6 linked regions of the Mus musculus genome follow. The protein of the gene in region 5 purifies or fractionates together with the protein of the main gene of each other region. This does not show direct contact. Links are inferred from orthologs where the notes say so. Each region holds a gene or a part of one and is shown on either strand. Other genes may lie near its edges. The genes, in order: Itgb1, Igsf8, Ptgfrn, Gnb1, Cd81 and Cd46.

Region 1 (4,292 bases), on a different chromosome or scaffold from region 5:
TAGCTATTGCTGGGGAGAATAACCAACAGCACAGTAAATGCTACAGTGGAGAAAGGCTTACATTTTGAAAAAGCAAGAGGCAGCTTATATTTTCTGCCAAGGTAGAACTTCAATCCTCCAGGCACAGGGTAAATGGCTGTGGGTGTAATTGGACCTCATGCTTCTGCCACTACAACTTTCTTGTTGAGATGGACTGTACCGTGTAACTGTGAGCTAAAATAAATTCTTTCATTAAGTTGCTTTGTCAGTTATTGTGCCCCAGTAGTGAGACAAGTAATTAGAACAATGTTCATGCATTTTACATAGCTAAGTAACTGCCCATCTCTTAACATTTTTATGAATTCAAGTATAGCTACATTTCTGAGCAATTATGGAACTTATTAATTTCTATTTTCTTCAAAGTTTATGACTTGTACATGTAAATTGGTATTCCTCTGACAGCTTAGGTTGAGTCCTGGGAGAGCAGCACAAACACTATTTTGTGTGTGTGTGTGTGTGTGTGTGTGTGTGTGTGTCGATCTTGTGGTAGATTGTTCCCTCCTCAAGTCACACGAATGAAAGCTCACACAGTTCAGGCCAAGCATTGATAAAGTATGTTTATAAAGCTGTTTCTTGTGCAGAGACTGGGCTAATGGTTTAACTCAAAGTGGTAAGATCAATACCTTTAAAGGCAACGAACGTCACTGAGCTTTACCGCTGGGCTGCCGATGCAGACGTAGCCTTTTAAGTTCAGTCATTTACTAATTAGAAAAACGATGCTCATTTATTAAAATTTTAGTTAAACAATACATTTGATTTGCTCATGGGCAACATATAACTTTTCCATAGTGATTAATCTTTTTTTTTTTTTTTGGCATCCCAGTTTTACTCTTCCAGAACAGAAACACTATTTCTTGGGTTCATAAACCCGGCAATGAAAGCTGTCTTTACGGCTGGGTGCCCTGCTCCTCCTGGCAGCCCACACTCTTCGGGTAAGCTGATGGCACCTGCTGTCCCACAGCTTTCAGTATGACGAGGCAAGTCCAAGTTTCAAGCTTCTCATTTAGATTTTGAGACTGGCTACTTTTCAATTCTTTTTCCAGAAAAGAGAAAGCAAGTGCGCAAACATAACATTTTTCCTTTTTGTGCTTGGCCACCCAGATAGAAAATTGAGCAAATGCGGCGCCAAGGAGCGCAGGGTGGCACAGCAAGGGTGGAGCGGGAGTCTGCAATCTTAGGGTGACGGGGCGGGTCCGAGGGCTGCCTGCAGAACACCCGATCCTTCTTGTCCCCTCAGCCCACAGAGAGGTCTGGCTCGGGATCCCAGGGACCGGACACAGACTGCGGCTGGGCTTTCCAGCCGGGCGGCCGGCGCCCTCGGTGGTTCAGCGCGGTACCCCAGGCAGAAAGGGCCGAACGACCGAGCTCCTTTGTCTGCACCCTGCCCCACCTTCCTTCTTCCTGCCGCCTCCCCCTCCTTTTCAGGCGCGGCTGACGCGGCGCGGAGGAATGCGTTTCCGGAGGGAGAGAAAAGCCGGGCAGCCCGGGAGAAAGAGCTTCGCGGCGGGGGCGGGGCGGGGCGGCTTCCTGAGGGACAGGCGGGCCGAGTCTCCGCCCACTCGCTGAAGAGCCGCCAGACCCGCGGAGCGGCCGAGGCCCGCCGACGCCACCCGAGACCAACCGAGAAGCCGAGGCCCGCCGACGCCGGCCCGAGACCCTCCGAAAGGCCGAGGTCCGCCGACACCGACCCGAGACCCTCCGAGAGGCGGAACGCGGCGGAGCCCGGGCCGCCCGCGTGTCGGGCGGACGCTGCGAAAAGGTAAGGCCGCGGGCGTGTGGACGTGCGGGCGTGGGCTCCGGGCAACTCGGGCTAACCAGGCGTGTCTCTGCGGCCTGGGCCGGGTGGAGTCCGGTTTTAGGGACCGCGGCGCTCGGCCTCGTTCGGCTGCAGCTCCCCGCCCCGCCCGGCCTTGTCCTAAGGGAGGGTCGCGAGCCCAGTCTGTCACACCGGGGCGTGGCGGGGTTCAAGGGTGGGTACGACAGGGATCTGGGTGCCGCTGACCTTAGAGGGGTTCGGTCCGTCGGTGCCCAGCGGGCGCCTTTCCCCAGCGCGGCGCGGGACCCTGGGAACCAGGCCGCAGCGCCCGTGGTCCGCGAGGCGGTGCCCACCCGGGGCCTCGTGGAGTGTGGCTGCCTACCCTTTCTCGTGCCTCCTAGTGACAGGCTGGGTTAATGACCGCGCTGATCCCGAATGCCACAGTGAATTTGAACTTTTAATTTGAAACCTAGTAATAACTAGTAATAAATTATCCTATTTCCGTTTCCTCATCTTTAAAAGAGAAAAGGAGTTCCTACACTAATTATAGTAATTCTTGTGACACGAGGGTCAGACCCAGCTCCCAGCATGTAAACTCCCAGCATGTACTGACCTCACTGCAGAACCCTGATCCTGATCCATGGTGGTATTGGGACTGCCTATCTCATTTTACAAAGGAAGAAACTGAGGTGCAGGAGTTTTAAGTAATTTGGAGAGTTCATGGGCTCACCTCCAGAGCCTATATTTGAACTTTAAGTAACCTAACTAATGTAAAATAAAGAAGGCATTTTGTGTGTGTGTGTGTATGTATATGTATGGCAAGAGGAATCCAGGGCAATGCCTCAAAAAAAAAAAAAAAAAAAAAAAAAAAGAAAAGAAAAAAAAAGAAAAGAAAAAAAAGAAAAGGACACAGTAGGTAGTGAAATGTAAAACCACAACTTAGACAACAATGCTTCATATACATTAATTACTTTTCATTGCTTTTGCTATGTTAAAAAAAATCTACAAACTTCTCAGAATGTTTTGGTAGTATTAGGAAAGTCTCCTGGATATGCCATTCCACTTGGGTATGAAGAGGATAGTATGACTTAAGGTTTTTATTTTTTAATGGTGGTTGTTGCTTGCATAGGACAGAAATAAATGTTAGATGAATTCTGATTAGATTTCTTTTTTAAATCGCACACAGCCATTACAGTAGGTCATATCCTAGATAACCTGTAGAATGGACTAAGAAATTTTAGTTTAGAGTTACCTCTTGCATACTGATGGACATCAAGGCCCGAAGGGAAGGACTGACATCAGAATCTTAATATATGATATGATATCCAAGTTTATGAGGAATTTTGATTCATTCAACCATGGTTAATGATCAGAAATGATAGAATGACAAATAGAAAACGGATGAAACACTGGCATGTTGTATATAGGCACTTGGGGAGAGTAGAAGATACTAGAACTCTAGTTTTTATGTGAGTAGAAAGCAGTTTCTAGCTTATCTGTTGAATTTACAGGCCTGCAGTTGAAGAATCTGTTGTTGAGGATATGAAGTTCAGTATTAAGATGGTTTCTTTAATTTTAATTTATAATTATTTGCATGTGGGAATGTATGCCGAGCATAGGTGGAGGTTAGAGGATACATTTGTGAGGTTTCTTCTTTTCTTCCACTATCATGTGGATTTCAGGGATTGAATTCAGGTTGCCCAGCTTGGGTAAGCATTTTCATGTGTTGAGCCATCTCACTGTTTGAGGTTGTTTCCTTTTTTTAAGGCTTTGATTTGTTTATTTTATGTGGGTGCGTATTTGCCTGCTTGTAAGTTTGCCCTGTGTGTATGCCGCTCCAGTGGAGGCCAGAAGAGAGGGGTCAAATCTCCTGGAACAGTACCCACAAGTGGCTGTCAGCTGGTATGTGGGCACTAGCAATAGAACTCAGGTCCTCTGGAAGAGCATGTCTTCCCCTACCCCCTCCCACCAGGTTGTTTGTAATCTTCAGTATTGTACATGAAAATTACAGAATCAACAAAGTTGAAAAGTAATCAGTTGTCTTTAATTTTCTGGTCAGCCTAATTTGAATCTGTTCTGAATCAACATCAATGAAATGAAAATATAGTTCTGTATTGATTAACTCCATGAACACTGCTCACCTCTCCTCACTCTTTATTACTAGGAAAATTAATTAGCTTGACGGATGTTTGTCCAGAATGCTTTCTGCCTAATGTAGTTCCTTTACTCTCTGGTGTTTTTCTAACAGAGCCCCACCCCCTGGTTTACATGTAGAGAGGGAGGTGTATATCATAGTTTGTTGTCTGGAGAAAATAATTTTATTAGTGTTCCGTGAGTGTATGAGTACTAGTATTCTTACCTGTGTTACCAGAGTGATGAGATAAACATGTTGACACTAGTAAAAGTTTCAGAGGATTGTTTTTTTTTTCCTCAGAATTTAAATGTAAAAGTTTTTGAAGTGTAATAAGCCCAGCTGACTTGAAGATTCATTATGGGG
Region 2 (2,489 bases), on a different chromosome or scaffold from region 5:
CAACTGCTGCTGTCCTTAAGTAGGCAGCCGTGTTCTGAAGCTCCTATTCGGCTGCTGTCAGAGAATAATTAAGGGCAGGAGGAAAAAGACTGAGGCCCCAGGGCCTGTGGGAGGAGTCTGGTCCAAGACTAGTTCAACCAGGAGAAATGGACCAGAGGAGGGTGTGCCCCAGTCTGGAGAGCTCAGAAAAGACTCGTCCCTTGGAGCTCTGTGAAAGGGGCAGAGCTCAGCTGGAACTCACCCCTCCTCTTCCTAGGTCCCCCTTCCCAAATAGAAGCCCCATTAGGACTTGGCTCAGCACAGACATTTTGGACAACAGATGGGACCCCGGCATCCCCTCATGCAGTTGGTGGGTAACAAGGCCCACAAAGGGACAGATGGTGTTTATGGTGGGAAGAGAGGCCCAGGTTGTCCAGCAACCACCCTACCACCACCCCACTCCCCCCACCCACCCCCAATGCTGCCTTTTATAGCTTCACCGCAAGAGAAGACACAACAGGCCTCGATTTTACAAAACCAGTTTATTCACATTTTAGAAAAACTAGTTTGAGGACAGGAACTGGACTTCCTACAACATGAGTGTGGGACTAAGAACGGCAGCCAGGAAACTTGAGGGAAGGAGGGAACAGGGGAGCCATGTCTCCCACTCTAGGTGATGGCTGGTCAAATAAATTAAAGGTGGGCTGGACAGAGGGAGAGGGTATCCAGGCAACCAGAGGAGGGGTGGCACTGGCTGGAAGACAGTCAACACCTGCAAGAACTGGAAAGAGCATGTGGAGTCGGCTGAGGAAGAGGCTCCCTTTGGCCCTTACCCTGCTACACGATCCTGCAGGACTGTGAAGCTGGCTGCTTCTCCCCCAGATGGAGGCCAGGTACAGCTCAGCACAGGAAGCCTGAGGAAGGCAGCTCCTTTCCCTCACCTGGGGTGCTACAGATCACCGCTTCCGCATCCTCTTCATAAAGCAGCAGGTGATGGTAGCCAGGACGCTGGCGCCGGTAACTAGGGCGACTCCTGTACCCACCAACAGGGGCACAAATAGGGTATCCACAGCTGGCAGAAAAGAAGACAGGCTCTGCTCAGAGAGTACCACGGTCTCTGACACTCTCCCCTGCAGATTTTCTAGACTCAGCCCTCCCCAAGGGAGAGCTAAGCGCCAGTCCTGCCTACCTACACTTCACACACAAACACAACCATCCCCCATCCCCCCCACCCCCCTCCACCCCCACCACCACCCCCCACCCCCGGTCTCAGCACTCAGGCCGGCTTGGGACCCTTCATGCAAAGGGATGTGGAAAAAGGATTGCAAGGGAAGACAGGAAGATGGAAAGGGGCAAACAGAGCAGGAACAGGTGGGTAGATGGTGGCTGTCACTCACCATGCGTGTAGGGGTAGACTGTGACAGGCCCGGAGCGCGCACTGCCTGCCTGGTACCAGCTGTAGTCCGCATGCTGCACCCAGGCACTTGGGGCACAGTGGTATATGCCTTCATCCTCAGGCCCCAAGCCGTGCAGTCTTAGCCGATGACTTCTGGGTCCCACCAGCTCCACACTGACAGGACCCCCTCCAGGCCGGACTCCCAGCTCTGCCACACCGTCCTGACCCACTCCACCCACAAGCTGAGCAGGGCCAGTGCTCAGCTCGCCCTCCTCTGGCCTCTCCACCCACCAGCTGGCTGCTAGTCGCAGCCCTGGGGGGCCGCCCCGCACAGATATGTTGCATAGCAGGGAGGCCGTTTCTCCCCGGTACACAGTGCCCCCTGCTAGCCACGCCACAGCCTCTAGCACCACGCCTGCAGAGCAAAGAACACGGGGGTTACCAGGTGAAGGCCCAGGGGCTAAGAGGTTAGGAAATAAACTCTATAAGTTCTGAACCCCGTCAAGGGCTCAACATCCTCTTACCTTCTTCTCTCACATGCACAGGGAGAGGCCGGGAACGAGCACTGGCCGCTTCACGAAGCCGGGTCCCAGACCCTCGAACATAGGCTTTGGCGAGGCAGCGGTAGGTGCCTGCATCAGCGGGCCTGGCAGCCTCCAGCCGCAGTCGGTAGGTTCTGGATGCTACTTTCTCCATGGCAATGTGCCGGTCCTCATAGCCAGGGCCCAGGCTGCCTATACCTTCCGTGTCCAGCTGGGCCACCAGGCGGCCGGGTCCAGGAGCCCCTGCAGGGGCCATCTCCCAGCCCACAGAGTACGCAGCATGACGGCCTGGTGGGGGCAGTGCACCGGACACATTGCACAGCAGTTCTAAGGGTTCGCCTGGGCCAATCCGACGTTCACCAGGTCCCACGGTCACCGCCAGCTGGCTGGCTGAAACACAGCAGGAGATGGGAGGAGTCACTGAGATGCCTGGGCCCCCCACCTGTAATTCTTCTTTGCAGAAATTTAGAGGCCTCTTATATCTCCCTCACCCCAGGACCCGAATTTCACCCTTCCCCCCATAGCCTTTGTATCTCCACGTTTATGCGGTACTCCCGATGCCCAACTGAGAG
Region 3 (3,500 bases), on a different chromosome or scaffold from region 5:
ACTGGGCTCATAAGCCTGAAGCATGAGAGGCCATTAGACTCTAAACTGGTCTCAAGAAGTTAGAATTGGGCATGGTGATATCTGCAGTCCCAGAACTTGGGAGGTAGCGGCAGGAGGATCGGAGCTCAGTCATCTTTGACAACACAGTAAATCTGAGGACAACTGGGCTGCAGGAGACCTTGCCTCTCAAAACAAGACAGGCCTCCAATAAATCAAACAACAACCAAAAAGGGAAGTTAGGGGTCAGGATGTGGCTGGCTTGCATAACACTCCATAAGGTTCTGCTTCAATCCCTAGCAGGTAAACAAAGCAAAGCAAAGCAAAGCAAAGCAAAGCAAAGCAAAGCAAAGCAAAAGTGAGGAGTCAGAGGTAAAGGTTTAGGTCAACAACTAAAGGTGGAAGAAGATGGGTGGCAGAGGCCAGAGGCTCCATTTTGGACAGCAACTTAAGAGCTGCTTGCTAGGCAGGAAGGCACCATATCAGTGAAGGCGAAGTTCTGGGGCATGCGGGCACACACGGGCACAGTTGGGAGTCAGCCCCTGCTATGTGTCCTGTGAAGCTAAAGCTGAGCAAGTTAAGCAGGAATGCAGGGACTGTGTCCTGATGTGTCCTGAGTGGGAACTGAGTAGGAAGCAGTACGGAAGGGAGGCTGAGGTACTGCAGTGAGGAGGGAAACAGGGCCCGGAAAGGCTTCCCACAAGCAGTGGGAAAAGCCAGAGCATTCCTGCAAGGGAGAAACTGTCCCGGCCCAGGAAGGAAAGTGACAAACAGGGTTCTGTAGTGTGTTGATCTTTGGCAATATCAACATGTGACTAAGGGGTTGGGGAGCAGGTACCACAGAGAACTGGAGGAGAAATGAGAGATATTAAATATAGATAAATCGAATCCACCGCTATAAATGGGCAGAGTAGTGGGCAAGGTTGTAAGAAACAGAAATAGACCAAAAGCGGTTTCTCTAAAGCAGTGTTAGCAGGCTGATGGGAAAGGACCAGAGGAGAGAGAATATTGATGATATAAGGGGGTGGGGCATGTGTCTGAGCTGTGAGAGGGGCTAACCTTTGCTAAGACATACGGGCAAGTAACAGGCTCAATGCTGAACATGGCAGATACAAGTTCTCCTTTGATGATCTTTTTATAGGGAATGGAGCCGACAGAGGCTGGGGGAGGAGGTTTTCAGAGAGCAGGTGGTGTGCAATTATCACTTAGGAGAGTGGGGAAGTAAACACACAAAGGAAACCAGAATGACTCTCAATGTTGAGAGCCCACGTGACAGAAGAGATTGGAGATCTGAAGTGAGACCTTCACTGTTGGAAAGCTATTTCCTTCAACTGCATCTAACTCTGCATATGCAGCCAAAGCGACAGCAAAGTTGGCTTTGAATCAGGTAGTGTTTTAAGCAGAATATAAGGTAGACCAAGCCAGGGAAAGAGAGTTAAGAAAGCAAAGAAGGGACATGATTGGCTGGGAACTTAGGCTGGATATCCGTAGATGATCAAACAGCTCTCCTTACCCCCAGCCCTGGACGTGTATCAGGACGGGCTCCAGGTCCATGTTGGACTTTCTGGTAAGAGAGAAGTAAAGGCCCAGGAAGAAGGAAGGACAATGGTAGAAGACAGAACCACTAAGGCTGAAGCACTAAAGGGAATGATCTGGGGAGCCGGTGATCTTAGAGAACCAGACAGTGACACTGAGCTATGGAGGGCTGGATTTCAGAAGTGAACGGGTCAGATGAAAAGAATTGGGAGTGAAAGACCAAAAGGGACAGAGGACGTGATACTTAGAGACAAAGGCAGGGGGCTGAGAATGAAAATGTTGTCTACACTAGGGTCTTCCACAGTGGCCCCTCTAGAGGATTCAATCCCAGTGTCCAGACCGCACACACCTCAGACCAATTTAAATACAACTTCTACTGGGATCCTTTCTTTTCTTTTTTGAAAGCTCCCAGGAAGATTTCAACACAGCTAGCCAGACAGGAGTAGTAACAAAAGTGGCCATGAAACCAAGGCGAGCAGCTCCAGCAGATGAGCAGAAGAGCAAGGAGTCAATCAGGATGAGTGGCAGGTGGAAGAGGTGTGGCCCTGGGCAGAGAGGGGTCTTTCAGGACTGGTGGGGAATGGTAGAAACTGCAGAGGGACAAGGGGGTGCCTGACTCCTCTATTCCCAGCTACTCAAGGAATGTGGGAAGAAAACACAGCCACTGAGGTAGATTCTGGGACAACTGTCCTCAGAGAGGAGGCTGGCATCCAAAAGAAAGAAAAAGGAACACTGACTGGGGTTCAGGAAATGCAAGGCTTTGCTAAGGACAGTGAGTGGCAGAGGCCCATGTCCCCAAAGGGCCATGTGGTTCCAGTTCCCTAGTGTATGAGCACAGATTTCCAGTGTGAACGGAGAGTGAGGGTGCCTACACAAACATGGACAGATGACTTAAGAAATTAAACCAAACTGAGCAGTGACAGGATGATGTCCCCACCTTCTGAGGCCCAGAATATGTTGACAGGCTTGGAGAAGACATCTTTGCTCTTCACCCAGCTGTTGTTCCTCTGCCTGGTCCAGGCAGACACAACACAGTAATAATTGCCCCTGTCTTCCTCCGTAGTCCTTTGGATCCGGAAATTGAATGTGTCTGTGTGCTCCTTAGAAAAAATAAACTCTCCGTCCTGGGCCCGCTGCTTGCTCCTCTCTCCATATCTCAGAGTCCAGTCCCCATCCATGACTGCGAGAAGCTCACTGGCCACCACGTCGTCATTGCGACGGGTCATTCTATAGTACCACGACACGGTAAGTCGGACACCGGCCTCCAGACGCTTCGTGTCTATCACCCGGCACTGCAGTTCCGTGGGGTCGTCTGAAAACCCGGGGACCTTAGAAGCGTTCAGGTAGACCTGGTATTCTGGTTCTGAAGTGGGGAAAGAGAAAACACAACGACATAAGAATTGTCCAAGGAACAAGTCAAGGACCACTCGCGTTCCAACAAATCGTCCATCCTGCTAGCTTCTGAAATAAAAATCAAGTCTTGGCGTTGAGCAGGAAGGACCCTGTAAGAGTATTTCTCAAAGTGTGTAAACCACTTCTTCAAGTATCTGCCTTAAGAAAACTGCCAAGGTGTCTCAGACTTAAGAGCCCTGCCTGCTTACAGAGGACCTAGGTTCAATTCCCAAAACCCACATGGCAATCACAACCATCTCTCAGTCCAGTTCCAGGGAATCCAATACCCTTTTATAGCCTCTGAGGACACTGTACACATGTGGTGCACAGACATACATGCAAGTAAAATATCCCTACACATTAAAAAATAAGATGAAATTAAGGAAGGAAGGAAGGGAGGGAGGGAGGAAGGGGGAAGAAAAGAGGGTGGGAGGGAGGAAGGGAGAATAGGAGGGAGGGAGGGAGAATAGGAGGGAGGGAGGGAGAATAGGAGGGAGGGAGGGAGAATAGGAGGGAGGGAGGGAGAATAGGAGGGAGGGAGGGAGGGAGGGAGGGAGGGAGCTGCCAAGGCCAGA
Region 4 (3,500 bases), on a different chromosome or scaffold from region 5:
AGTCTATCATGAAAGGAAATCAGCAAAGACCGCAGAGGAATACCGCTTACTAGCTTTCTCTTTAGGGCTTACTTAGCCTGCCATCCAGGACTACATGCCCAAAGACGACACTGCCCACAGTAAACTGGCCATGCTCACATCAATTATTAATCAAGGACATACCCATAGGTTTACCTATGTGCCAATAAGATGGAGATATTTTCTCAGCTGAGGCTCCTTCTTCCTTAGAGGACTCTAGCTTCTGTCCTATCCCACCCCACCCCCAATATAAATAAAAACAGGGCAGGTGTTTAAAATGGATTAAAATGGTTCCTGAGTGGGTAGTGTTTCAAGCTTTTCCCATAATATTCAAGCTTTCTTGCTGTCAGTATGAACAAAACTGTGTCCTAAATATTTGACATGTCTCATGTCTCTGTGTATCTAATTTAACTTGGAATAAAAAAGAAACCCGTCAGAAGCAGGTCAGATCAGTACCATCTCTCGGGTGATAAGAGAAGAGCTGGGGAGTCTGGTCATCCAGGTGTCCCCAGGGCTGAGTTGTTATCTGACACTCATGGTATTCCATTGCTCGAGCATTGAGATCCTCTTTCTTATTATTAAGTGTATTATATTTTAAGCGAATGTAGCTTTAAAGCTCTAGTTGGTCACCAAGATTTTTTGTTTCTGTTTTTTCTTTTCCTTTATCTTTTCTCCAGGCTCCTTGTCAGCGCCTCTCAGGATGGAAAACTCATCATCTGGGACAGTTATACCACAAACAAGGTGGGCAGTGCAAGACCCTCCCTGGAACAGTGACAGTCTGTTGATGGAGCAATGATGACCTCGGAGGGCGATAGAAGAGCTTGTGTTGCTGACCCATTAAGCTTGGCATACAGTTGTGCTGTGGTTCCTGTCTTGGCATGTAGATAGGAGCTGAGTGCTTCCTTGTCCTTGCACAAGAGCTACACTCCACTCCTAGTTTTGACTGGAAACTTTCCTAATTTATTACTAGAATACTGAAATGCAGATTCCATTTAGTTAGTAGTTTGTTTTGTAGTAACAAGAGATAATCTAAGATGCACTATACTTTTTAATGTTTAGTGGAGGATTGGGAATGTAGCTCAGTGGTAGAATACTTGTCTACTGGGCATAATTCCCTGGATTTGATTCCCAGAACCACAAAAGATAAAAAACCAATGTAACCCAACAGATTGGTAAAAGTCTGTGATTCTAGTAACTCAGGAGGCTAAGGTAGGATGATCGAATAAACCCAGAGGGCAAACCTGCCATGGCTAGATAGGGGAAAGGAGAAGACAGAGATACTAGGTAGAATGTTTGCCTCATAGGTACAAATCTCTGAATTAAATTTCCACTTCTCTTATATTGAAATAAATTACACTGGGTATGGTGGTACATGCTCATAATCTATCATTTGAGAATGTAAGCAAGAGCCTCAAGCATTAAAGATTATGCTTACCCACATAATAAAGTGAAACCAGCCTGAACTACATGAGACCTTGTCTCTAAAAAATAGTATTCACAAAAAACCAAACAAACGGGGCTGGCGGGATGGCTCAGTGGTTAAGAGCGCCGACTGCTCTTCTGAAGGTTCTGAGTTCAAATCCCAGCAACCATATGGTGGCTCACAACCATCCGTAATGAAATCTGATGGCCTCTTCTGGAGTATCTGAGGATAGCTACAGTGTACTTACATATAAATAAAAAAAAAAAATTAAAAAAAAATTTAAAAAAACAAACAAACAAACAAAAAAGAATACATTTAAATTCTGAGTGGTTGCAGTGGCCAGTCTATAATTCTAGCATTTGGAAGACAGAGACAAGGAATCCACAAAGCAATCTGGTTATCTAGACCTACAGACGAGCTCTAGACAGTCCTGAGGAACACTGTCTCACAGAAGAAGGTGGAGAGCAGTCAGGGGAGGGCCCGTGTCAGCCTCAGCCTCCGTGTGCACAAGCACACATGCGCATAAAGTACGGGGAGCCGAGCCAGGCGTGGTGATACACGACTTTAATCTCAGAAGTTGGGAGGCAGAGGCAGGTAGATCTCTGTGAGTTAGGGGGCCACCCTGTCTATAAAGTGAGTTCCAAGACAGCCAGAGCTCTAGAAACCCTGCCTGCAAAAACGAACGAAAAGGTGCAGGGCTGGAAAGATCGCTCAGTCACTGCCTGATTTTTCCAGAACGTCTTGAGTTTTATCCCCAGCGTCTGCGTAGTGGTTTGCAGCCTTCTGTGTGTCAGTTAAAGGGGAACCCAGAGCCCTCCCTCCTTTAGCTTTCCAGGCTCTGTACTCAGTTAATCAACAGTTAATCAAATGTTCCTACAGATAACATGAAATTAAATCTCAAGACAAGTTTTAATGCTGTCATCAATTAAGGAAAAAAAATTGGACAGTTGTATTTTCCCTCAAAATTAGTAAATACATGCCAAGATTACAGAATGTTAACTGCTCTATCTAAACAGCAAGACTAACTGTGTTACCAGTGTGCAGTTAGGTTATTGCATGTGAGTGTCAGAGAGAATGAATATGAATGAGTTCTGCCTCAGCTTCTTTATTGCTGGGATCGGCATGAATCACCATGCCTGGCTGTTTTTTATGTGCTTGTCTTTGTTTTTTTTTAAGCTCATAGCCATGATAAATTAAAGGGGAAAGTAAATCTTTTCAAATCCTATTAACATCACTCCTTAAATCATTAAAATGCAAATATAATTTGTGTTTTCTTTGAGATAGTTTTCCATTATGTATAGCTCAAAATATCCTCAAACTTGCCATCGGGGCTGGTGATATACACCCTACTGGACAAGACTTTTGAGTTCAAGTCTCAGAACCAAAAAAGACAGACACGACAAAAAGCCCTCTTTTTCTTTCTCTTAGCTTTCCAACTCCTAGATTCACTGACGTATGCCATCACACCTATCTACTCATTAGGGTTTTTTGGTTTGGTTTGGTTTGGTTTGGTTTGGTTTGGTTTGGTTTGGTTTGGTTTGGTTTGGTTTTGTTTTGTTTTGTTTGTTTTTGAGACAGTTTTACTATGGAGCCCTGGCTGGCCTCAAATTCAGAGATTCACCTACCTTTGCCTCCTGAGTGCTGGGGCTACAACATAAACTATACACCCAGCTGTAGTCATATTTTCTTGAACTTAATAGTGTTTCCTGTCTGTATTCTTGTTATTTAGGTTCATGCCATCCCTCTGCGCTCCTCTTGGGTCATGACCTGCGCATACGCTCCTTCTGGGAATTATGTGGCCTGTGGTGGCCTGGATAACATCTGCTCCATTTACAACCTGAAAACTCGTGAAGGGAATGTGCGTGTGAGTCGTGAGCTGGCGGGACACACAGGTACACATCTCATGTTCCAGTGGTGTAAGCTGCTAACTGGGATGTATACTGCTCTTGTGATCTGTTGATTATTGGTTCAAGTAAAAGTGAAAGTAACGGCCAGAAATTTTCTGAAAGTGAAGCCAAACCAGGGCCAATATGCCTTCATCTTTAAGAAACATGGAAAC
Region 5 (4,232 bases):
TTTGTGTCCTGCCCCATATATCTTGGGAGTCCAGAACTCTGCTGGCCCCAATATAGGTTCTGAACTCAAGCCCAAGGAGGACTGGTGGGAGTGACAGCAGGCAGGTTAGTGTGCCCGGAATGTCCCCTCCCACAGAGAAACCACTTTAATCTTCAAACTGGAAATTTTAAAAAGTGTCCATCGAAACATTTACTGTCAACCAAATCTCCCTTCTTAGAGCTCTTAGCCCCCGCCCCCACCACGGCCCAAAGGACCTCTCAGCCCCCTCCTTAGGCCCTTCTGACATCATTGCTCAGCTTCCTTTGGCCCCACTCCCTTTTGGAGACTGTGTCCAGTGTCCATTTCCTGAGCCTTCTCTGCTCCAAGCCCCTTGCCCCACTCTGGAGTACATTAGCTAGTCTACACACAATCCTAGGAGACAGAGACCCCCAAGAACTCCCACTTTAGAGGGAGGAAGTGAAGACTAAGGGCCAGAGTGGTGGGGTGGGGCTCCCCAAAGGTTCAATTTCATGATATCAGGGAACTATCAGCCACAGTACAAACCTTGCCACACGAGGGACAAAAGGAGTCCCTCTGCCAGGGTGGTGTCCACCAGTTGTAGCCTGGTTCTGCTCCACATCCCTATCCACTGTGGGGCCAACATGAGTAGGGAGGAGAGGTCTGTGGGATTGTGAAAGGCTACAGTTTTCACTGTTCTGCAGTCAGTAGGCAGGTCCCTGGGAGCAGGGAGAGGCTTCAGAACCGTTTCCTGGAGCCTCAATAGAGACCCCAGGGACATGTTGGGACTCCACCCCAGCTGCCTGGGAAACGAGCAGCTTCACCCAGCCTCAGCACTCCAGGGAGTCTGAGGGTCTAGCGCTTGGATCAGGTGGGTGAGCAAAAAAAGAAAAAAAAGAAAGAAAGAAATACCCTACAGGATCCTGACATCCCACATCTGAAGAATAATGGGGGTGGGGTGGGGTGGATAACACACTTCTTGAGGGTGCATTCAATTCCTTGCATGGTTCAGAGTAGGCAAGCACTGTCCAACATGACTACCCAGTCGAGACCCCAAGGCATGCCCGGGCAGAGCAAGTTTAACCCCATCGCCCATGCTGCTCCCTAGAATGTGTTCTCTGGAGTCACCGTGACTGACAATCTTGGTCCCTGCAGCACCGCGTGAGCATACATAGCCCCAGCTGAGTTCAGCCCAGTTCCTGCCCATCCCCAACGTCTTATTCCCCTCCACCCCACCCTGACCCGCCCTGGGATCTTCAGCAGTCCTCGATGGAAAACAGGTGTCCCCTGTCCAACACACTCACTCCAGGGGCCGTTGTACAAGTTTGCCCTCTCAGGAACAACTTTAGAGAAACATTGTCTTGGCATAACCTCATTTCTTCCTGGGAAGGAGGGTGGTGGGAACAGCAGTCTGTGCACTGCAGCAGGGAGGGTGGCACCACTGTCCAGAGGAGTGGCCAGCACTGCTCACTCAAGTGCCCGCAGGCAGGTCTGTTAAGACTCCCCATTCCCAACCCAGTTAGGAAATGGAAAGAAGCCCATACCACCAATGGCTACTCCCCAGCAGTGAAGACAGTCAGGACCCAGGGACACTTGGAGACCCTCTTATACCCATGTCTCCTTTCCAAGATGACCAAATGGGTGTGCACTTCTTTCCAAAGTGGAGAGCCCAGCTTAGATCCTGTATATAGGAAAAGATCCTAAGCTCCTGGTTTGTACAGATCCCAGATCTTTGCAACACCCTGGCCTTCACCAACTCAGAACTGCATACCCTCTTCCTCTCAGGATCTAAGGGTCAGGCCGGGGCTGTAATCTGTGCAGGAGACGACAGGCAAGGAGGAGGGGCAGCTGGGGGAATGGGGGTGGGGGTGGCCAAGAACTGGGGCACCGTGCGCAGCAGCACGCGGCCCGGGCTGCCCTGCCTTCTAGGCCTGGAGCTCGAGCCCCCAGGGTGGCAATACCAAGCTGGAGGGTAAGCAAGGGTGGAGTAATAGTGGGGTTGAGGTCTCCGAGGCAAGTACGGAGCGTGCCCCCACCACTTCGAGGCCGCCTATCCAGGGGCGGTGGCTAGGATGAGCTCATGGGGGCGGGGCGCCAAGATCCCGCCCTTCTCGACCCCCCTCACTGCTCGCGATGCAGGATGGTCCCCAAAACAACATTCAGGAGGGTGCGAGTACCCCCTTCATAGCTGAGGGCTCTTGATTACCTGGCTCTAGCCCGCAGACTCTTGCACCAGTTCCCAGCACTCAGAGGGGACAGGCCAGCGATCCCCTGATTTCCCGGCCCCAGAAGCCCCTCGAGCCGAGGCCCAGAAGCTCAGCCCTCGGCCTCAACCCGCTGGCGAGGGGCGCCAGGACCCCGATCGGCGCACGGAGCCCACAGGTGGCGCCGCAACTTCGCGGTTGCGCTGCGCCTTCTCAGCAGGGCCTAGCGCGCTGCCCAGCCTGGCTACCGTGGGGTGCGCCCTGTCCCCAGTGGCTGCTCACCCAGAAGACGAAATTGAAGACGAAGAGCAGGTATTTGATGCATTTGGTGCAGCCCTCCACCCCCATGGCGGTGCGCGGCCTGCGGAGCTTGGATTGGTCCTGGAGCGGGCGGTATGGGGACGCAGTACCGGGGTCCGGGACTGGCAGATAGCCTGGAGCGCTTGCGGGCCGGAGAACTGCGTTGCGGAGAATGAGACGTAGGGTAGAGAAGGGCTGGAGGCCTAGCCGGAGGCGCGAGAGTCACTATCTCTTTGAAGCAAGGACGCGCTCGCTCGGACCGGGCGCGCGCGCCTAGCTCCTCACTCTTTATAGACCTCTAGGTCCCGCCCCTCCGAGGCCCCGCCCAGAGGACGCTCCACCCCTGGCCCCGCCTTCCGCCCGCGGGGTGCCCGGACCAGGGGTACTTGGGTGGGTGCTGCCACCTCAGTCCCAGAGTAAGCGTTCTGGAACTTGGTGCAGCTGGTTCTTGGGGACTCGGTGCACTGTGCGTGCGCAGGATGAATCTCCAAGTTTCTTAAGGGTTCCCAACCCTCGGGGCAGGCTTCTGGGTCGCGACTAAGAACTGGCCACAAGATACTGCCCCAAAGAAGCCACACTTACTTCCTCCGGTACTCGGACGCCTTGGACTTTCCCGGAGGGTACCCTAGTGGAGGTGTCTCGACAGTAAAGAGTCTTAAAAGTTAACATGTTTTGTGTATATTGATCTCCCAGGCAGCAACTCCGTGGGCCTGAAGGTCTAGAATGGAATTCTTTGTAGCCTTGCTAATCCCCTATCTCACAGATAGAGTTCCTGGCTGCAGTTCTGGAGGCTGCATTTGGGAAGGTCAATAGTGTACCCAATGTCTTTAGCCAGTCTTTAGGCTCGAGAACCCTCAGGGGCACCTTCAAATATTCATGCCATCCTGGCTGTGCCTTCCAAGAGTCCATCCTCCATCCTCTAGCTGGTTCCCTGAAAGCTGGGATTAATAAGGAAGTGAGGAAAGATTCAGAGGGCAGAGGTGCTTCCTTCCCGGGTGAGGAATGGCTGCTGTCATCATAGATGATATTCCTGTGAAATCTTGGCATTCCCTTCCCCAAACTGAAGGGCAATGGGGCTGCTTCATTAGACTCACTGGGAACCATGGAAGGACCAGTTCCCAAGACTCAGCCTTTTCCAGGTCACTCCATGTTCTTAAATCTTTGAGCAGTTAAGGACATTGTTCCCTATGGAGATCACACCTGGCACCCCTCTGGCTACAGGACACTGGAAATATGTTTAAAAAGGAATAGATATACATATATATTTAAACAAAGGAAAGGAATATCTATAATATATATGTGGAGAGAGAGACAGACAGACAGAGACAGACAGACAGACAGAGAATGAGAATCTCACAATGTAGCCCTGGTTCCTGGAACAGAGCTCTGTCTACTTTTGCTTCCTAAGTGCTGAGACTGTAGGTTTAGGACACCATGCCCAGTTGTCTAAAGGGCGAAAATTTGAACTATGTATAATTTACATGTAAACCTGATGATTGGCCAGTAGCTGCCTGGGTGGAGCTATCTCTACTCGGCTAGGCTAGTAGGCTTCTTGAGAGTTAATTTGTGCATTTGTTTTGGCTTCAGGCTGGTATAGCTGCTACAGTGAAGGATTGTGTCCACATTTATAGTTCTTGGAGGCTGAAGTGGTGTCACAACAAAAGTAACACTAGTCACCAAATGCTGGAGTAATATCACACTAAAAGTCATTTGAGTCTCCAGGAGGGAGTC
Region 6 (4,285 bases), on a different chromosome or scaffold from region 5:
CAGAGTAAAGACTGAGATACTAAAGTGTAAGCACTTACTGATCTCAGCAAGACCTAAAGGCCTAAGAGAGCAGCAGACATAACAGGGGACTGCAGCTTTGTTCAAAGAAGCAGCCACTCTTCTGAGGGACGGACTTCAGCCTCAAAATGTGACAGATTCTCTTCCTGATGAGCATTATCCACTTATAAACTGCTTTCCTCACAAATTGAGTTGTTCCAAAAATGAGAACTTATTCTCCTTTAATTTTCCCTACCTGGGACAACGATTTTTCCTTTTATGTTTTCCAGGCTTCGATCTATATTTTGCTTTCTAGATTTTACCTTGTTTCCCTTCATTTATGTTATATCCTATCCATTTTATCTGATTATTTGATTAATAGATTTAATCCCAGCACTAGGGAGGCAGAGGCAGGAGGATTTCTGAGTTCGAGGCCAGCCTGGTCTACAAAGTGAGTTCCAGGACAGCCAGAGCTACACAGAGAAACCCTGTCTCAAAAAACCAAAACAAACAAACAAACAAAAAATTTCAAATAACTGCAGAATCTTCTTTTTTTCTTTCTTTCTTTTTTTTGTTTGTTTGTTTTTGTTGTTGTTGTTGTTGTTGTTGTTGTTGTTGTTGTTTTCGAGACAGGGTTTCTCTGTTTAGCCCTGGCAGTCCTGGAACTCATTTTGTAGACCAGGCTGGCCTCAAACTCAGAAATTCACCTGCCTCTGCCTCCTGAGTACTGGGATTAAAGGCGTGTGCTACCACGCCCAGCTACTGCAGAATCTTCTTTTAGCTCATCCCAAACATTATTCTTTTTCAAAATCCATTGGTTTCCTATTATGCTAGTACCTGCCTCTTCTATTCCTTGTGAAGTGAATTTTATAGCGATTAATGAAAAAGCAAAGTTCTTGAAAGAATGTTCCTCCTGCAAGCAGGAAGAATCTTTTCTGTGCTTCATGCATTGGCCAAATATATTTAACATTCTGGTACTTGAGTTTTGTAAGAGCAACAACACTAAGACAAAACAAACAAACAAACAAAAAAAAAACCATTTGGAGTCACTAGTGTGAAAAAAAGAAAAGATCTCTTGCCTTCCTATTCAGAGAGGTAGAGAACAGAAAAGCCAGTTTTATAGGTGTGATGCAAGTTGAGAGATGGGTTAAGTTGGGTTATGTCTACTAAGGGTAGTCAGAAGAGGTCTCCCTGGGGGGGGGGGGTGACATTCCAACTAAGTTTGAAGAGAAAATAGTCAAATATGTAATATCAGGAGAAGGTTCTATATATAAGAAAAACAGTAAAAAAAAAAAAACAAAACAAACAAACAAAAAAAAACCAGTGGTTTAAAGTGTCAGAGTTGGGATTGTTGTTTGTCCTGTCCCTCAGTCATTTTAAAATCCAGTCAGAGAAGCATGTTCCTTTACTCCAGAGCATGGTTCTATTCCTTCATGTTAAGCTTTGGTTATTATTAGCAAATATTTATAGATCATATACTATGTATTGCCACTAGGGATCTATCAGCACAATAAAGTGCCTGCTTACATTCCTATACATATATGTGTGTGAACAATCAGTGGAAGAGGCTCACAAAACCAAGACAGGCTTGTCACTGTCTCCCAACATCTCCATCCTCCGGACCAGCACAGAGTCTGGAACATAGAAGGCAAAAGTTGCTGGATGGATACTGATAAGAAAAAATATAGAAATACAGACTATATGAACAAGATTATGTATATATGTCACAAACACAGAGTGTTGCAAAACAGAAGAAAACAGAAGTATTGTTCTTTGTGTAAATTTTATAAAGTAACTAACCATGTATAGTATTTATTCCATGTAATGAAACACCATCCAAATGTGGTGGGATAAAGCTTGAGTTTTAGTTCATGAGCTAAGGTGAAAACCAGAGTGCTACTTATACTTCTTGTCTCAGGAGTGATGTCTAGATTGTCCTTTTTCTACTATGACTTTATCTGTAAAGGAAGATAAGATCTCAGAGCCATTTGGTAATAGAATCAGACACTGTCTGCTTTGGCTAGGAATGGACACTAATTCCAAGCAGGGAGTAGGAGTGTAAGGAATATGATTAAACACACTGTATATGTGTGTGTGTGGGGGGGGGGGGAATCTAATGAAATTGAAAAGCCAAACAAAATAGCCACTTTTTTTTTTTTTTCGAGACAGGGTTTCTTTGTATAGCCCTGGCTGTCCTAGAACTCACTTTGTAGACCAGGCTGACCTCGAACTCAGAAATTCACCTGCCTCTGCCTAAATTAAAGGCATGCGCCACCATGCCCAGCAAAATAGCCACTTATAAACCAAGCCCATACATACTGCCTCGGGCAACAAGGAAATTTGACTTAAAGGGGGAGGCCAAGTGTGACTTTCCCTCCCTTCTAAACCCAGAGTTGCTTGCCCACAGCATAAGCCGTGCAATCTGCTACTGACACAGTGGGGCTCTAAGTGAACATCTACCCCTCCCTCCACTCAGGCTGCCCACCCCTTAACTACTGCCTACTAAGGAAATCTGCACTTTCGGGGTGAGGACTGAATGATCTCCATAGTCACAGCAAAACTCACACATTTACACAACCCTAAGAGGGCTCTACCAGGAACTCCTGAACTCCTCCCAGCTTCCCTGCGACACAGCCTCTCTCCTGGATCGTACCAGATAAATGAGACAGCAGAAACAGAAGGGCCTCAGCATAGACGCCCAAGGAGCACCAGAAGAAAGTGTAGCTCTTCCTTCTGCGACAGGGGTGCGTTGAGTCTGGCATAAGAGGCGCCGCCGTCATGTTACCAGACTGAAAGGGAAACTGGGCGCCAGGAAGCCAGAGAGCAAGTTTTAAGATAGGTGAACAGACGCAACAATCCTGAAACTAAAGTGTGCTGAGCGACACAACAGGTGGGCGTGGCCAGGCCGCTCCTGGCAGGCTGGTGACTGGTAGCGCTAGCTAGGCCAATCGGCTGGCAGTAAGGTGGGGCCTCAGTTCAAGCGGCTGGGCCATGAGGTTGCGCTCCCGCCAGGAATTTTGGGCTTCTCAACTATTTTCCATTGTCCCACTTTGCTGTGCTCCTTCCTTACCTAGCTGCGTTACTCCCAAGTCCTCTGCAGCTTTGCTGCACTCCTCAGCTTGGATGGCACAAGCCTTGTCCTCAGTTGCATGTCAGGGTTGTGCTCCTCTCAGGGCTGTTTTCTTAAAGATGCAGCTCAGTATTCCCTCTTCAGCGGCTCTATAGCTGTTCTAAGGTGTGCTTACCAGCTGGGGCGTACCTTGGCTTACATATACAAAGAGACCGCTTTATTCCAGAAGGCTGGAAAGACTTGTTGGCCCTGTGATCATTGCTCTGAACTTGAACTTGAAGAATAAAAGTGCGGGAACCTATAAAATAGACCTAAAGCACTATCAGGAGGCTGCCTCAGACTTGTATTTGGCATTAGTCACAGCTGATTAGGACAAGTACTTATATTTTCCTCATTTGAATTCTCTTACAGCCTCATCTCACAATCCTCAACTCTCAAAGGTTTTCCCATTGGATTCTCAGCTTCTAAAGTCACACCCCCACCCTCCACATGGTTGCTGTAAATTATTGCACAGAACACTTCTCTGTGGCAAGCATTGCAAGCACACCCCTGAAGTTGAGCTATTATGTTTTAGCCCTGGTTAGGAATGCTTTCAGTGACAGTGTTGACTGTGAACATCCCAGGATCCTGACAAATGTCAAACCTTTGGATGAAGGAGAGGATTCAAATTTGGTGTTTTTTCCAGTTCATGGGAAATATCTTGTTAAACTGTCAAAGAGAAGCAAGGGGGAGTGCGGGGGTGTGGACCAAAATAGGACTCAATCTCCTGTATGCTTTTTGAAGGGTGGTAAGACAGTGGGATGAAAGGGCATTTAAGTGGTAGAGAAATCAGGGTTAGGGCTTTTTGTGTGTCTCGGGAATTATGTTTACATTGTTTTCAGAGGGTGGGTGCAGTGGTTTGAATAGGAATGGCCCCTATAGACTTATGTGTTTGATATTTGGTCCATAGGGAGTGGGACTATTAGGAGATATGGCTTTGTTGGAGTAGGTGTGACTTTGTTGGAGGAAGTGTGTCACTAGTGGATGGGCCTTAAGGTCTCAGAAGCTCAAACCAGTTCTCTGCCTGTTGCCTGTGGATTCAGATGTAGAACTCCCAGCTCCTTCCACAGCACCATGTCTGCCTGCATGCCACCATGCTTCCTGCCATGATGATAATGAACTAAACCTCTGAAAAGGTAAGACAGCTCCAACTCTTTTTCTTTATAAGAGTTGTGTTGG

What was found.
Region 1: the proteins of Cd81 (region 5) and Itgb1 purify together in Homo sapiens (affinity purification with western blotting; 4 studies listed by BioGRID and IntAct, with this or other methods). This does not show direct contact. The link is inferred for Mus musculus from reciprocal best matches to the Homo sapiens genes CD81 and ITGB1.
Region 2: the proteins of Cd81 (region 5) and Igsf8 purify together in Homo sapiens (co-immunoprecipitation; 3 studies listed by BioGRID and IntAct, with this or other methods). This does not show direct contact. The link is inferred for Mus musculus from reciprocal best matches to the Homo sapiens genes CD81 and IGSF8.
Region 3: the proteins of Cd81 (region 5) and Ptgfrn purify together in Homo sapiens (co-immunoprecipitation; 7 studies listed by BioGRID and IntAct, with this or other methods). This does not show direct contact. The link is inferred for Mus musculus from reciprocal best matches to the Homo sapiens genes CD81 and PTGFRN.
Region 4: the proteins of Cd81 (region 5) and Gnb1 purify together in Homo sapiens (co-immunoprecipitation; 4 studies listed by BioGRID and IntAct, with this or other methods). This does not show direct contact. The link is inferred for Mus musculus from reciprocal best matches to the Homo sapiens genes CD81 and GNB1.
Region 6: the proteins of Cd81 (region 5) and Cd46 purify together in Homo sapiens (co-immunoprecipitation; 3 studies listed by BioGRID and IntAct, with this or other methods). This does not show direct contact. The link is inferred for Mus musculus from reciprocal best matches to the Homo sapiens genes CD81 and CD46.

What each region holds. Positions count from the first base shown.
Region 1 is NC_000074.6:128,684,162-128,688,453, forward strand, and holds the start of Itgb1 (integrin beta-1 precursor), read left to right. Parts: upstream 1-1,492; 5' UTR 1,493-1,798; intron 1,799-4,292.
Region 2 is NC_000067.6:172,317,855-172,320,343, reverse strand, and holds the end of Igsf8 (immunoglobulin superfamily member 8 precursor), read right to left. Parts: intron 2,308-2,489; coding exon 1,900-2,307; intron 1,791-1,899; coding exon 1,377-1,790; intron 1,052-1,376; coding exon 936-1,051; 3' UTR 921-935; intron 761-920; 3' UTR 501-760; downstream 1-500. UniProt on the Homo sapiens protein: Member of the immunoglobulin superfamily (IgSF) that links tetraspanin-enriched microdomains to the actin cytoskeleton and plays several important roles in innate and adaptive immunity.
Region 3 is NC_000069.6:101,058,167-101,061,666, forward strand, and holds part of Ptgfrn (prostaglandin F2 receptor negative regulator precursor), read right to left. Parts: intron 2,897-3,500; coding exon 2,471-2,896; intron 1-2,470. UniProt on the Homo sapiens protein: Inhibits the binding of prostaglandin F2-alpha (PGF2-alpha) to its specific FP receptor, by decreasing the receptor number rather than the affinity constant. Functional coupling with the prostaglandin F2-alpha receptor seems to occur.
Region 4 is NC_000070.6:155,539,861-155,543,360, forward strand, and holds part of Gnb1 (guanine nucleotide-binding protein G(I)/G(S)/G(T) subunit beta-1), read left to right. Parts: intron 1-695; coding exon 696-759; intron 760-3,170; coding exon 3,171-3,333; intron 3,334-3,500. UniProt on the Homo sapiens protein: Guanine nucleotide-binding proteins (G proteins) are involved as a modulator or transducer in various transmembrane signaling systems.
Region 5 is NC_000073.6:143,051,318-143,055,549, reverse strand, and holds the start of Cd81 (CD81 antigen), read right to left. Parts: upstream 2,801-4,232; 5' UTR 2,550-2,800; coding exon 2,484-2,549; exon of another isoform or gene 1,864-2,483; intron 1-1,863. UniProt on the Homo sapiens protein: Structural component of specialized membrane microdomains known as tetraspanin-enriched microdomains (TERMs), which act as platforms for receptor clustering and signaling.
Region 6 is NC_000067.6:195,089,449-195,093,733, forward strand, and holds the start of Cd46 (membrane cofactor protein precursor), read right to left. Parts: upstream 2,801-4,285; 5' UTR 2,778-2,800; coding exon 2,651-2,777; intron 1-2,650. UniProt on the Homo sapiens protein: Acts as a cofactor for complement factor I, a serine protease which protects autologous cells against complement-mediated injury by cleaving C3b and C4b deposited on host tissue.